Linked DNA regions of Yarrowia lipolytica. The protein of the gene in region 1 purifies or fractionates together with the protein of each later gene. This does not show direct contact. Links are inferred from orthologs where the notes say so. Each region holds a gene or a part of one and is shown in the gene's direction. Other genes may lie near its edges. The genes, in order: YALI1_F09230g, YALI1_E16493g and YALI1_F13373g.

Evidence for each region.
Region 2: the proteins of YALI1_F09230g (region 1) and YALI1_E16493g purify together in Saccharomyces cerevisiae (affinity purification with mass spectrometry; 3 studies listed by BioGRID). This does not show direct contact. The link is inferred for Yarrowia lipolytica from reciprocal best matches to the Saccharomyces cerevisiae genes RPS12 and SIS1.
Region 3: the proteins of YALI1_F09230g (region 1) and YALI1_F13373g purify together in Saccharomyces cerevisiae (affinity purification with mass spectrometry; 3 studies listed by BioGRID). This does not show direct contact. The link is inferred for Yarrowia lipolytica from reciprocal best matches to the Saccharomyces cerevisiae genes RPS12 and RPS31.

Annotation. Positions count from the first base shown.
Region 1 is NC_090775.1:921,348-924,316, forward strand, and holds YALI1_F09230g (40S ribosomal protein eS12), read left to right. Parts: upstream 1-1,735; coding exon 1,736-1,738; intron 1,739-1,950; coding exon 1,951-2,376; downstream 2,377-2,969. UniProt on the Saccharomyces cerevisiae protein: Component of the ribosome, a large ribonucleoprotein complex responsible for the synthesis of proteins in the cell.
Region 2 is NC_090774.1:1,647,685-1,651,222, reverse strand, and holds YALI1_E16493g (uncharacterized protein), read left to right. Parts: upstream 1-1,878; coding exon 1,879-2,985; downstream 2,986-3,538. Other genes in the region: YALI1_E16531g (uncharacterized protein), read left to right, coding at 1-55; YALI1_E16501g (uncharacterized protein), read right to left, coding at 121-1,137. UniProt on the Saccharomyces cerevisiae protein: Required for nuclear migration during mitosis. It is required for the normal initiation of translation. Might mediate the dissociation of a specific protein complex of the translation machinery. Essential for viability.
Region 3 is NC_090775.1:1,335,376-1,338,388, forward strand, and holds YALI1_F13373g (ubiquitin-40S ribosomal protein S31 fusion protein), read left to right. Parts: upstream 1-1,978; coding exon 1,979-2,431; downstream 2,432-3,013. Other genes in the region: YALI1_F13355g (uncharacterized protein), read right to left, coding at 1-218, 356-532; YALI1_F13366g (mitochondrial 37S ribosomal protein mS37), read right to left, coding at 1,141-1,230, 1,309-1,488; YALI1_F13384g (uncharacterized protein), read right to left, coding at 2,616-3,013.

The DNA of each region.
Region 1 (2,969 bases):
TGATCCCAATTTTCAATACCTTCAACTGCTTAAACCCGTTATGCTCGCTAGAATGTCTCCACTGTGGAGATTGTAGATCTTGCTCACACAGGAGGATGATAGGCTTGAAGGCATGGAGGTTTATGAGATTAAAATGAATTAAATTAATGATATACAAGTACACATAATCTCGTAGCAGCAACATTCCTCATGTGCACAAGCAACGGCGGATCTAAGGCGATCTGTAGTCTCGTACAAGCGGTCCGTGTGTACTTGGACGGTGAATACCATAGATACAGTATGTACGTAACAGTGTCGCACCTCAAACCAATGTCTCATGTCTACTCATAGACAGACCGTAATTACTCGACAAACCCGAAAACATGTCTTACTCAACGCCGTTAAAATTTCTCGGCCAAATGGCGGGAACACCTCGTTAATCGACTAGACAAGGTCTCACCGCACATTTGTCTCGGAGCTACTTGCAGCACCACACAAGCACTGATGGAAGTTATGTGGACTTTAGGTGTTGGATTTCTCCGAGTTTTGTCCGAGACAAAGGTCAGAGACTGTTCTTTTTCGTCCCGCAGCGAACTCTTGTAGATCGACCCTGGCTGCTTCAGATACACTTTTTAACGCTCGTTTAGAGGGGCCAGTAGAATTCAATATTGGTAGACAAGGGGCGATACAAAAAGAAGTAATGGCTGCTAGTATTTCTTTTTGTCTGTTTATCCGGCTCTGTGCACTCCGAAAAAAGGGTCCCAGGCAACCAGCTGTTGCAATACACCATCGCCTGAAGTGCAGTGGTTGTATCTTCACATGTTTACACTATGTCTCATGCAACCACTTCCATATGGGGGTAGAACAACAGAGTAAAAGAGTAAAACACGCTGCGAGTGCGCCAACATGGGCCCATGTCTCAGTCTTGGGTGAGATATGTTCCTCCTGCACCTCTCTCGTGTGCAGGGTCAGCAGCAGCCTGTTTCATTTGCTGAGACTCGGTCTCAAGACGAATACGAAGTGCATAGGACGGCTTGAGGAATCAACAAAACTGCAAACAATGGGAGCAAATGGAGAAAGCGGAAGTTGGTATCATTCTCAGTGTATTTGGGCGGCTGCTTCCGTTTGTTGAAGCGACTGAGGGGCTATACACACTGTGCTGTACAAGTACCTGTACACACCGGTGCAGTATGTACTTGCACTTGGTGTAGCAGCTATGGGGTGTGTCAATTGGTAGCACGAAAAATAAATGAAAGTCACTTTACATTCCCTGTCTCTCTACGGGCTACCGGAATATGTATTTTAAACGGCTGACTGAGGTCTATCTGGAGCTCCCGATATAGTTCAATCGCCTTACAAAAGGCTTGAACTGTAGGTAAATGTTCGACTGTTGGGGTTGTTCAGAACACAGTTTTTGCACGGACATGATCAGGAAGTTTAAGAGCACGTGTGGACGCGGATCTAGGGTGGATTTTTGAATAAATATATTTTTATCGAGACAGTCACATTATTTCATGCCCGGAAATACGGTGAATCTGTGTAGTGTGTTCCAGATAATAATTTAATACTACGACACCACGAATCGAACCCACGACACCCAAAACTGCAGCCGTCCCAAATCGTCACCAGGTCACATGATACTTCCCAATCGGGAAAACAGTCACACATGCGTTCACCCAAATAATGAAACTTTTCGACGTTATAACTCTCCAACAAGACTGAACAGTTCAGAAATTGTGAGGAAGTCCATTTAAAAATGGTGAGTATGACAGAGGGAATCACGAGGCCATCTTGGTGAGGATGTCGAGCGATCCAAATGGAGAAACTATGGGATTTGTCTCATTTATTTGCAAGGAAAAATGAAGCAAATCATTGACATAATCTCTCGAGGTCGCTCAAAAAGCATCCAAATCGTTATCCGAACGAAGTCGAAACAAACGACAATCACTCGCTGCCATCATTCTAACCCAGTCTGATTCTGAAGTTATCGCTGAAGTTGAGGTTGCCGCCGCTGCTCCCTCCGGAGGACTTACCCTCGAGGATGCCCTCAAGACCGTCCTGAAGAAGGCTGTCATTAACGACGGTCTCGTCCGAGGTCTGCGAGAGTGCTCTAAGGCCCTTTCTCGACGAGAGGCCGAGCTCTGTGTCCTGTGTGACTCTGTCACCGACGAGTCTTACCTCAAGCTCGTTGAGGCTCTTTGCAACGAGCCCGAGGAGAAGATCCCCCTTGTCAAGGTCCCCGATGCCAAGCAGCTCGGTGAGTGGGCTGGTCTCTGCCAGCTCGACCGAGAGGGTAACGCCCGAAAGGTCGTCGGTGCTTCTTGTGTCGTCATCACCAACTGGGGTGAGGACTCCGAGGCTCGACAGTTCCTCCTCGACTCCATTGCTTCTCAGTAAATGCGTTGCAATCAAAAGCGTAAGCAATAAAATGCCACATGGCTTATTTAATATCTGAGAGATTGTAGACATGTAAGAGTAGCGAGTGATTGGAGATGTGTAATGGCAGTAAGAAAAGTTTTGCATGGCTGTATGTATCGCACATGTCATACAGTACCACAACCATGAGATCTGCTGTGGCACTGATGAATGACGGTCTCAGGATCGGGGAAGACATACATCAACACAGTTGTGTATCAAGGATGTTGTTAATTGCAATGTAGGACTTCTGCGGCACATCGTATTCGCCGAAGAACCTCCTGTACAAGTAGCTAGGGAGACACATACTCTGAAAGCCGTGCACATTCGGGACCCTCTCGGTCAGTGAGACTCGCTGATGACAGTTCAACCAGGGTCATGATCTATGGAACTCTTATCTGCTTCCTATATACTGTAGATGGCCATAGCCTTACACAGCCCTCTACCCGACGATATCTAGCTGTGATAGTGCTTCCTTCTGACACTTCTAACGAGACAAGTGGTGATAAATGTTATACAATTGAGTCTCACGGACGCCACACTGATTATTGATGTACATACTGTATTATTCGCCA
Region 2 (3,538 bases), on another chromosome or scaffold:
GGGCAAACTGGAGTTTTGGTACCGCCCCATGTCTTCTCCTCCTGTTACTGTGTGATTAAAGCACATGAAGATGAAAGATATACATAGATATATAATAAAATACATAAGCTGGTTAGTAGACTAAACATCATTGAGGGCGACCGAAAGTGCGCCCTTGTGGTGGCCACTGTATTGTCTGATGATTTGCCCAGATGCCAATTCCCACAGCCGCACGTAATGGTCTGAGCTTGCGGTGACAAGGTATGCCGAGTCAGCACTGAATGCGCAATCCCACACCCATCGCTGGTGTCCTGTGAGAGTAGTTTCCAACGAGAATCCATTTTTGATGGACCAGATTCGGGCCGTGTTATCTGCGGAGCAGGTGGCCAGGTGCTTGACGTCTGGAGATAGCAGCACCTTGGTGATATACTTTGAGTGAGATCTGAATTTGGTAATGGGATGCAGAGAAGTCACGTCGCGGGTGTTGTGCATTTTCCACACGTAGCAGTTGCCCTTGTTATTTCCGGCCACCAACATTGATCCATCCGACGCCACAGACACTGATCGTACAGGCACGTCTTCTTCGGGGATCAGTTGGTGAGTGCATGTGTTTTCGCCGAGGTCCCAGATTCGAATGTTTCCCTCCTGGTCGCACGAGATGATTTCTCCTTGGTTGGGGTGGATCACCACATCGTTAACGGGGCATCTATGCTTGTAGTTTCTCTGGACTGTGGCGGTCCGCATATCCCAGACCTTGACTGTTCCATCTTCCGACGAAGTGACCATCCATTTGCCATCGTACTGGAATGCCAATGCCGTCACGTTGCCTGTGTGTCCCTCAAAGGTCATGACCGCCTTGGGGTTGTTACTTCGAATGTCGTACAGCCGCACTGTGTTGCCTCCTGCTGCTGCCAGATACCTCTTGTCTGGCGTGATTGCCAGTCTGTTGACCTGCGAATCAGGATGCTGGATGGTTCGCGAGCAGATTCCACTCAATGCCTCCCAGAACTTGATGGTGTTATCGTAACTCGACGAGCACAAAATCACAGACATGTCCGACTCGGCTGCCGCGGCCTGCTGCTGGGGTTGGACCTGGCCCTGGGGCTGCGCCGGTGGCTGCTGAGGCTGCGCGGATGCTTGATTTGTTTCCGAACCCATGGATTCAACCTGTTTCGTGCTGCTCGAGATATCACGGACTAAACGGCATATTGGGAGCGGCGAGATTAAGCTATGGTCACGTGAGGTGGACCTCTCTCTTCCCCCCCCCCCAGAAATCAGCCAAATCAGGACTACCCTAACCCTGATAAAAAATATGGAAATTCGAAGGTACTCATTTGAGATCGTCAATTGAGGAAAATTGGGTCTGTTTAGCGGCCAGAGCGATCCATTGGCTGAGTTTGCGGGTTTTTCCGTGGATTTTTTTCGTCTTTTTTTTTTGGCCTTGCGCGGTTCATGTATTAATATTGCCCTGCCTGACACACACGCCTGCAAGTACAGTAGCTACGCTACGTACACTTTAACACCGAGAGGAGGAGGTATGGGTGGCGAGGGGAACGCTCAATTGGTAAGAATTTCTCTCTACGTGCGCGCGCTCCGACATCCTGTCTGTCACGTGACTTTTCCCTCTTTTTTCTGTAGCTATTCTATTGCGCTAAGTATATATATATCACACTCACAGCCAAACTGCCGCCTTGGAATTTAGCTCTGTCGTGGTCCCAATTGCCAACCTTATCGCGGCGAAGACGCTGGAAGGTTCACAACCAATCTCGAAGGCTCCAGAAGAGTCGAGTGCGAATAGGCTCTGAGCAATACTTAAGGCGGGTGGTCAGCACTTTTTTTGCGGGCTCTTGTAACGCACGACATAGGTTACTACACCCATACATTTTCACAAGCGATACTATGGTGAAAGAAACAAAGCTCTACGACGACCTCGGGGTGTCTTCTGGCGCCAGCGAGGCGGACATCAAAAAGGCGTACCGAAAGGCTGCTCTCAAGTACCATCCTGACAAGCCCGGAGGAAATGAGGAGAAGTTCAAGCAGATTTCCGAGGCGTACGACATTCTGTCAGACAAGGAGAAGCGAGAGCTCTACGACCAGTATGGTCTAGAGGCTGCTCGAAAAGGAGGAGTTCCCATGCCCGAACCCGGCCAAGGAGGCGGGTTTCCGGGCGGAGGCGGGTTTCCCGGCGGCGCCGGAGGTTTCCCCGGAGGTGGCTTCTCTAGTGGAGGAGGCGGTGGTGGCCCTCAGACTTTCCACTTCTCTTCTGGTGGCGGTGGTCCGGGTGGCTTCGGTGGTTTCTCGTCTGGCGACGCCTTCAACATCTTCAACTCATTCGGACAGCAGGGCGGATTCGACGATGAGGGAGACGACTACGGAGGATTCGCCAACCTCTTTGGCGGACGTGCTGGCCGCCGTGCAGGAGGCATGGGTGGCGGCATGGGCGGTATGGGAGGCATGCCGCGCCAGAGGGCCCGATCGCCCGAGCGAACACAGGTGACAGTCAAGATGCCCGTGTCTTTGGAGGACCTGTGCACCGGTGCCACCAAGAAAATGAAGATCACCCGAAAGGGCCCCAGTGGCCAGCCCGAAGAGAAGGTGCTGACCGTCAACATCAAGCCCGGCTGGAAGGCAGGCACCAAGCTCACCTTTGCTGGCGAGGGAGACTCTCAGCCCAACGGTGGCCAGCAGGATGTGGTGTTTGTCATTGAGCAGAAGCCCAACCCCGTGTTTACTCGAGACGGTGATGATCTCAAAATGTCCATCAAGCTGTCTCTCAAGGAGGCTCTGTGTGGATTCACCAAGATCATTGAGACCCTGGAGGGCAAGAAGCTCAAGATTGAGCAGCGTCTGCCCATCAACCCCGGCCACATTATCACCTACCCCAACTATGGTATGCCCATTTCCAAGAAGCCTGGTGAGCGTGGTCAGTTGATCATCACCATCAAGGTGGACTTCCCCAGCTCGTTGACCGACGCCCAGCGAAAGGCCATTGAGGACAACTTTTAATAGACTAACTTATTGTACATAGAGTGCAAGAGCATTCACATGTAAGAATTAATAAATGATAGCATGATCATGGAGACAATTGTACGTGTGCATGAACAACTCATTACTGCAGCCTTAGTGCAACTCTAAGGATGATTTAGTTGGTGAGGTTTGGCGGGTGTAAAGAGGACATGGAGGTGTTTATAGGGATCAGGGGGAGGTTTGGAGGGTAGGAAAACATGTAGAATGTCTTTTAACGTCCAATTGAGCTGATGGGACTTCTGAGCGCCTTCATTTGGGGCTTCTGACGGCTCTGCTGAAGAAGTTGGTATTGTGCTGTCGACGACATTTTGAAGGCTTTTTAGCATAATTAGCAAACTAAATGTGCAATCGACGTGGGCAGATAAGCGGTGACGTTTGGAGGGCATTTTTCATGTACATGTACAATCACGTCGACGGCCCGTCAAGTGTTCAGAGGGATTATCGTCTTGTACGAGGCATGTGGGTTCTGGATGTGGGTTCTGGAACATTCTAGAATCTGTCGAGTTGAACGAATCTGTCGAGTTCAGCGAAT
Region 3 (3,013 bases), about 410 kb from region 1:
GAGGGCAGTACAGCACGGGTCCATGTATCGTGACAACGCGCTGACCGAAGGGAAAGTTGGTTTGTGTCCAGCGGCTGCTCCACATCACGTGCAGCCCATGACGTAAGAGGCGCATGTCTCTTTAGCCGCTCGTACAGGCCCCTGCTCGGTTCTCCCAAACGCACAGGTGACCATGTGGGCACAATTTTCCGAGCGCTGATGACGTCGTTGTGCGTGAGCTGCGAGAGGGCAGCAGGAGATATCAACAGCAGAAGATATCAACAGCAGGAGATATCAATAGCAGGAGATATCAATAGCAGGAGAGGGAATGAGCGGCAGAAGGGGATGAAGGGAAAGTGCAGTACGAGTACAATACAATACTATTGTTGATGTTGATGTGCTCTTGGGTGCTAGACGTATTCACGTCGCTATGGTCTGACAATTGATGGTAAAGTACCGACCCTTGATGGTACAGTATTGTACGAGTACTAGTACAGTACAGAACTGACAATTGATGGTGCCGTATCCACTGTACAGTACCGTACCTTGTCATACTTGCTTATGCTACACCTACGGTACAGCTTCTGATGTAGAACACAACTGTGTGAATATCCATACTGTAGAGAAGGGATCGACTGGTTCTATAGTTCCTATACATTGGTAGCCCTGCAGCATCGTAGTGCAACTGAAAACCTTTGACTTATCACAGGGACCTGGACACTGGAACCTCGTGCTGGAACTGAGCAGATGGTACTTCGGCGCATTAGAGTGGTCTAGAGTGGTCTACAGAAGCATACGAAGAAGCGTCAACAGTCTACAGCGAATCGAATTACATGCACCGTCTCAACAGTATCGCCATAATGGGTGGTCGCAAAGTGTCTACAGTCTGGAGATATGAGATGGACCTTTATGATACATTGTACTAATCGAGAGAGTTCTTCTACAACTTCTGGTTACTCTGGTTAACTCAAGTAATTGCAGAACTACAATACCCAGAGGCGTCAACATATCAAACAGACCATTGGAAACCCTACACCTCCATCACCTCTCCCTACACATCCCACCTCCGATCTTCAACCATTACCAATTCCGTCTCGCTCCCAGTATCGTAAATCACAGAGAATTCATAAATATGTACATGCTGGCGATGGATGACATCGCTTATCGTCGGTTCTTTCCCTGGGGAACCATCTTGGGGTAAAGTCGCTTGGCGTGGAAGTTGATACTGTCCTGCTGCTTGACGGGTTTAACCTGAGTTAGAATTGCAAAACGAAATTAAACCGACCCTGTCGCCTCAATCATCTCCAACCCTTCTCCTCTCATACTCACACTCTTGCAGGCAGCCATCTTGAACTCCTGTTCAATCTCCTTGCAGGCCTCGGAGTTGACACCGTTGGATGACCAGCACGCCAAAAGTCGAGACAGAAGCTGCACGGCCTGGGGGGCCTCGGCGGTCTGCAGGTTCTTGACACGCAGATACTTGAGCTTGGGCAACTTCTGGGCGGTCATTTTTCGAGACTTTGTGTATGGTGATGTTGCAGTGAAATTTTACTGCATGTTGGAGATGCTGGTGGTTAGGGTTATTAGTCAGCAAAAAATGGAAGGAATCTGGAAATATACGATACGGCGGATAAACGGGGTCTATGGAGCATTGTCAGTTACGGCTATAGCTAGATTACCGACGTTTTTTTTTCTTCGGTTTCCCCCCCCCCCACCTCATTTCGCCACGTGACCATAAATCAAATAAGGTTTTATTATAGCGGTCCGGGTAACTTCCTATTTGAGAAGTCCCACTCAACTTGCATGGAAATAAATTTACACGGCAGCTCTTCCTTTTCTTCTTCTTCAGACACTTCGGCTAGAAAGACGGTGAGTAATAACGACACACCACACGGTGGCGAACGCAGCGAACGCAGTGGAGCGATGCAAAAGCTGAAGAGCAGGACCTCAAGGAGCAACCACTAACAACAGCACAGTTTTCTTTGCAGACGACACCGAAATGCAGATTTTTGTCAAGACCCTTACCGGTAAGACTATCACCCTCGAGGTGGAGTCTTCCGACACCATCGACAACGTCAAGTCCAAGATCCAGGACAAGGAGGGAATTCCCCCGGACCAGCAGCGACTTATCTTCGCCGGTAAGCAGCTCGAGGACGGCCGAACCCTTTCTGACTACAACATCCAGAAGGAGTCCACTCTCCATCTCGTCCTGCGACTTCGAGGTGGTGGTAAGAAGCGAAAGAAGAAGGTCTACACCACCCCCAAGAAGATCAAGCACAAGCGAAAGAAGAACAAGCTTGCTGTCCTCAACCTCTACAAGGTTGACGATGACGGAAAGGTTGAGCGACTTCGACGAGAGTGTGAGTCTGAGTCCTGCGGTGCCGGTGTCTTCATGGCTGACATGAAGGACCGACAGTACTGCGGCCGATGCCACCTCACCCTCAAGGCCTAAATGTATTGATTTAGTTTAGTATATTTATCTCTTGAACAAAAATCAACGCTGTAGATTGTTTAAAAATTTTCTAAGTAGAGCTGAACACCGCAGCGTCTGTTTCACGAGCGAGATACCGCTCAGTCTGTAGTTGTGTACCCGTACTTCATTCGGTCTACATCTTCGTTGCAATAAATAAAACCCATCATTGACGCTGGGTGATTCCGCTCATGCCCTGTTCCAACATGGGTCTCAACATCTGGCCAAAGGGAGTGGCGAGCACGTTTTGGCTGAGCGACGAAATGTCGACCGGGATGTCTTTGCCGGTCAGAAACTGCGACAGCTCCTGTGTGAAGTGGTTGCAGTTGTGGTCAAACAAGTTGTACTTGTCGGGGGTGTATTCGCCCCGAATCTCGTTGAGGTACTCCTGAATCAGCTCCTCAGGCACATGGGTCTCTCCCAGATCCACCACCTTGTCTGGAATGCCATGGTGGGTCTTTCCGGGTTGAGCGGACTGGATTCCGGCTCCGTAGTACCACTCGGTCTTGTTGTCGATGACGATTGAAGTGTGCCAGATGCCGTCCACCTGGGTGCCGAGAAACT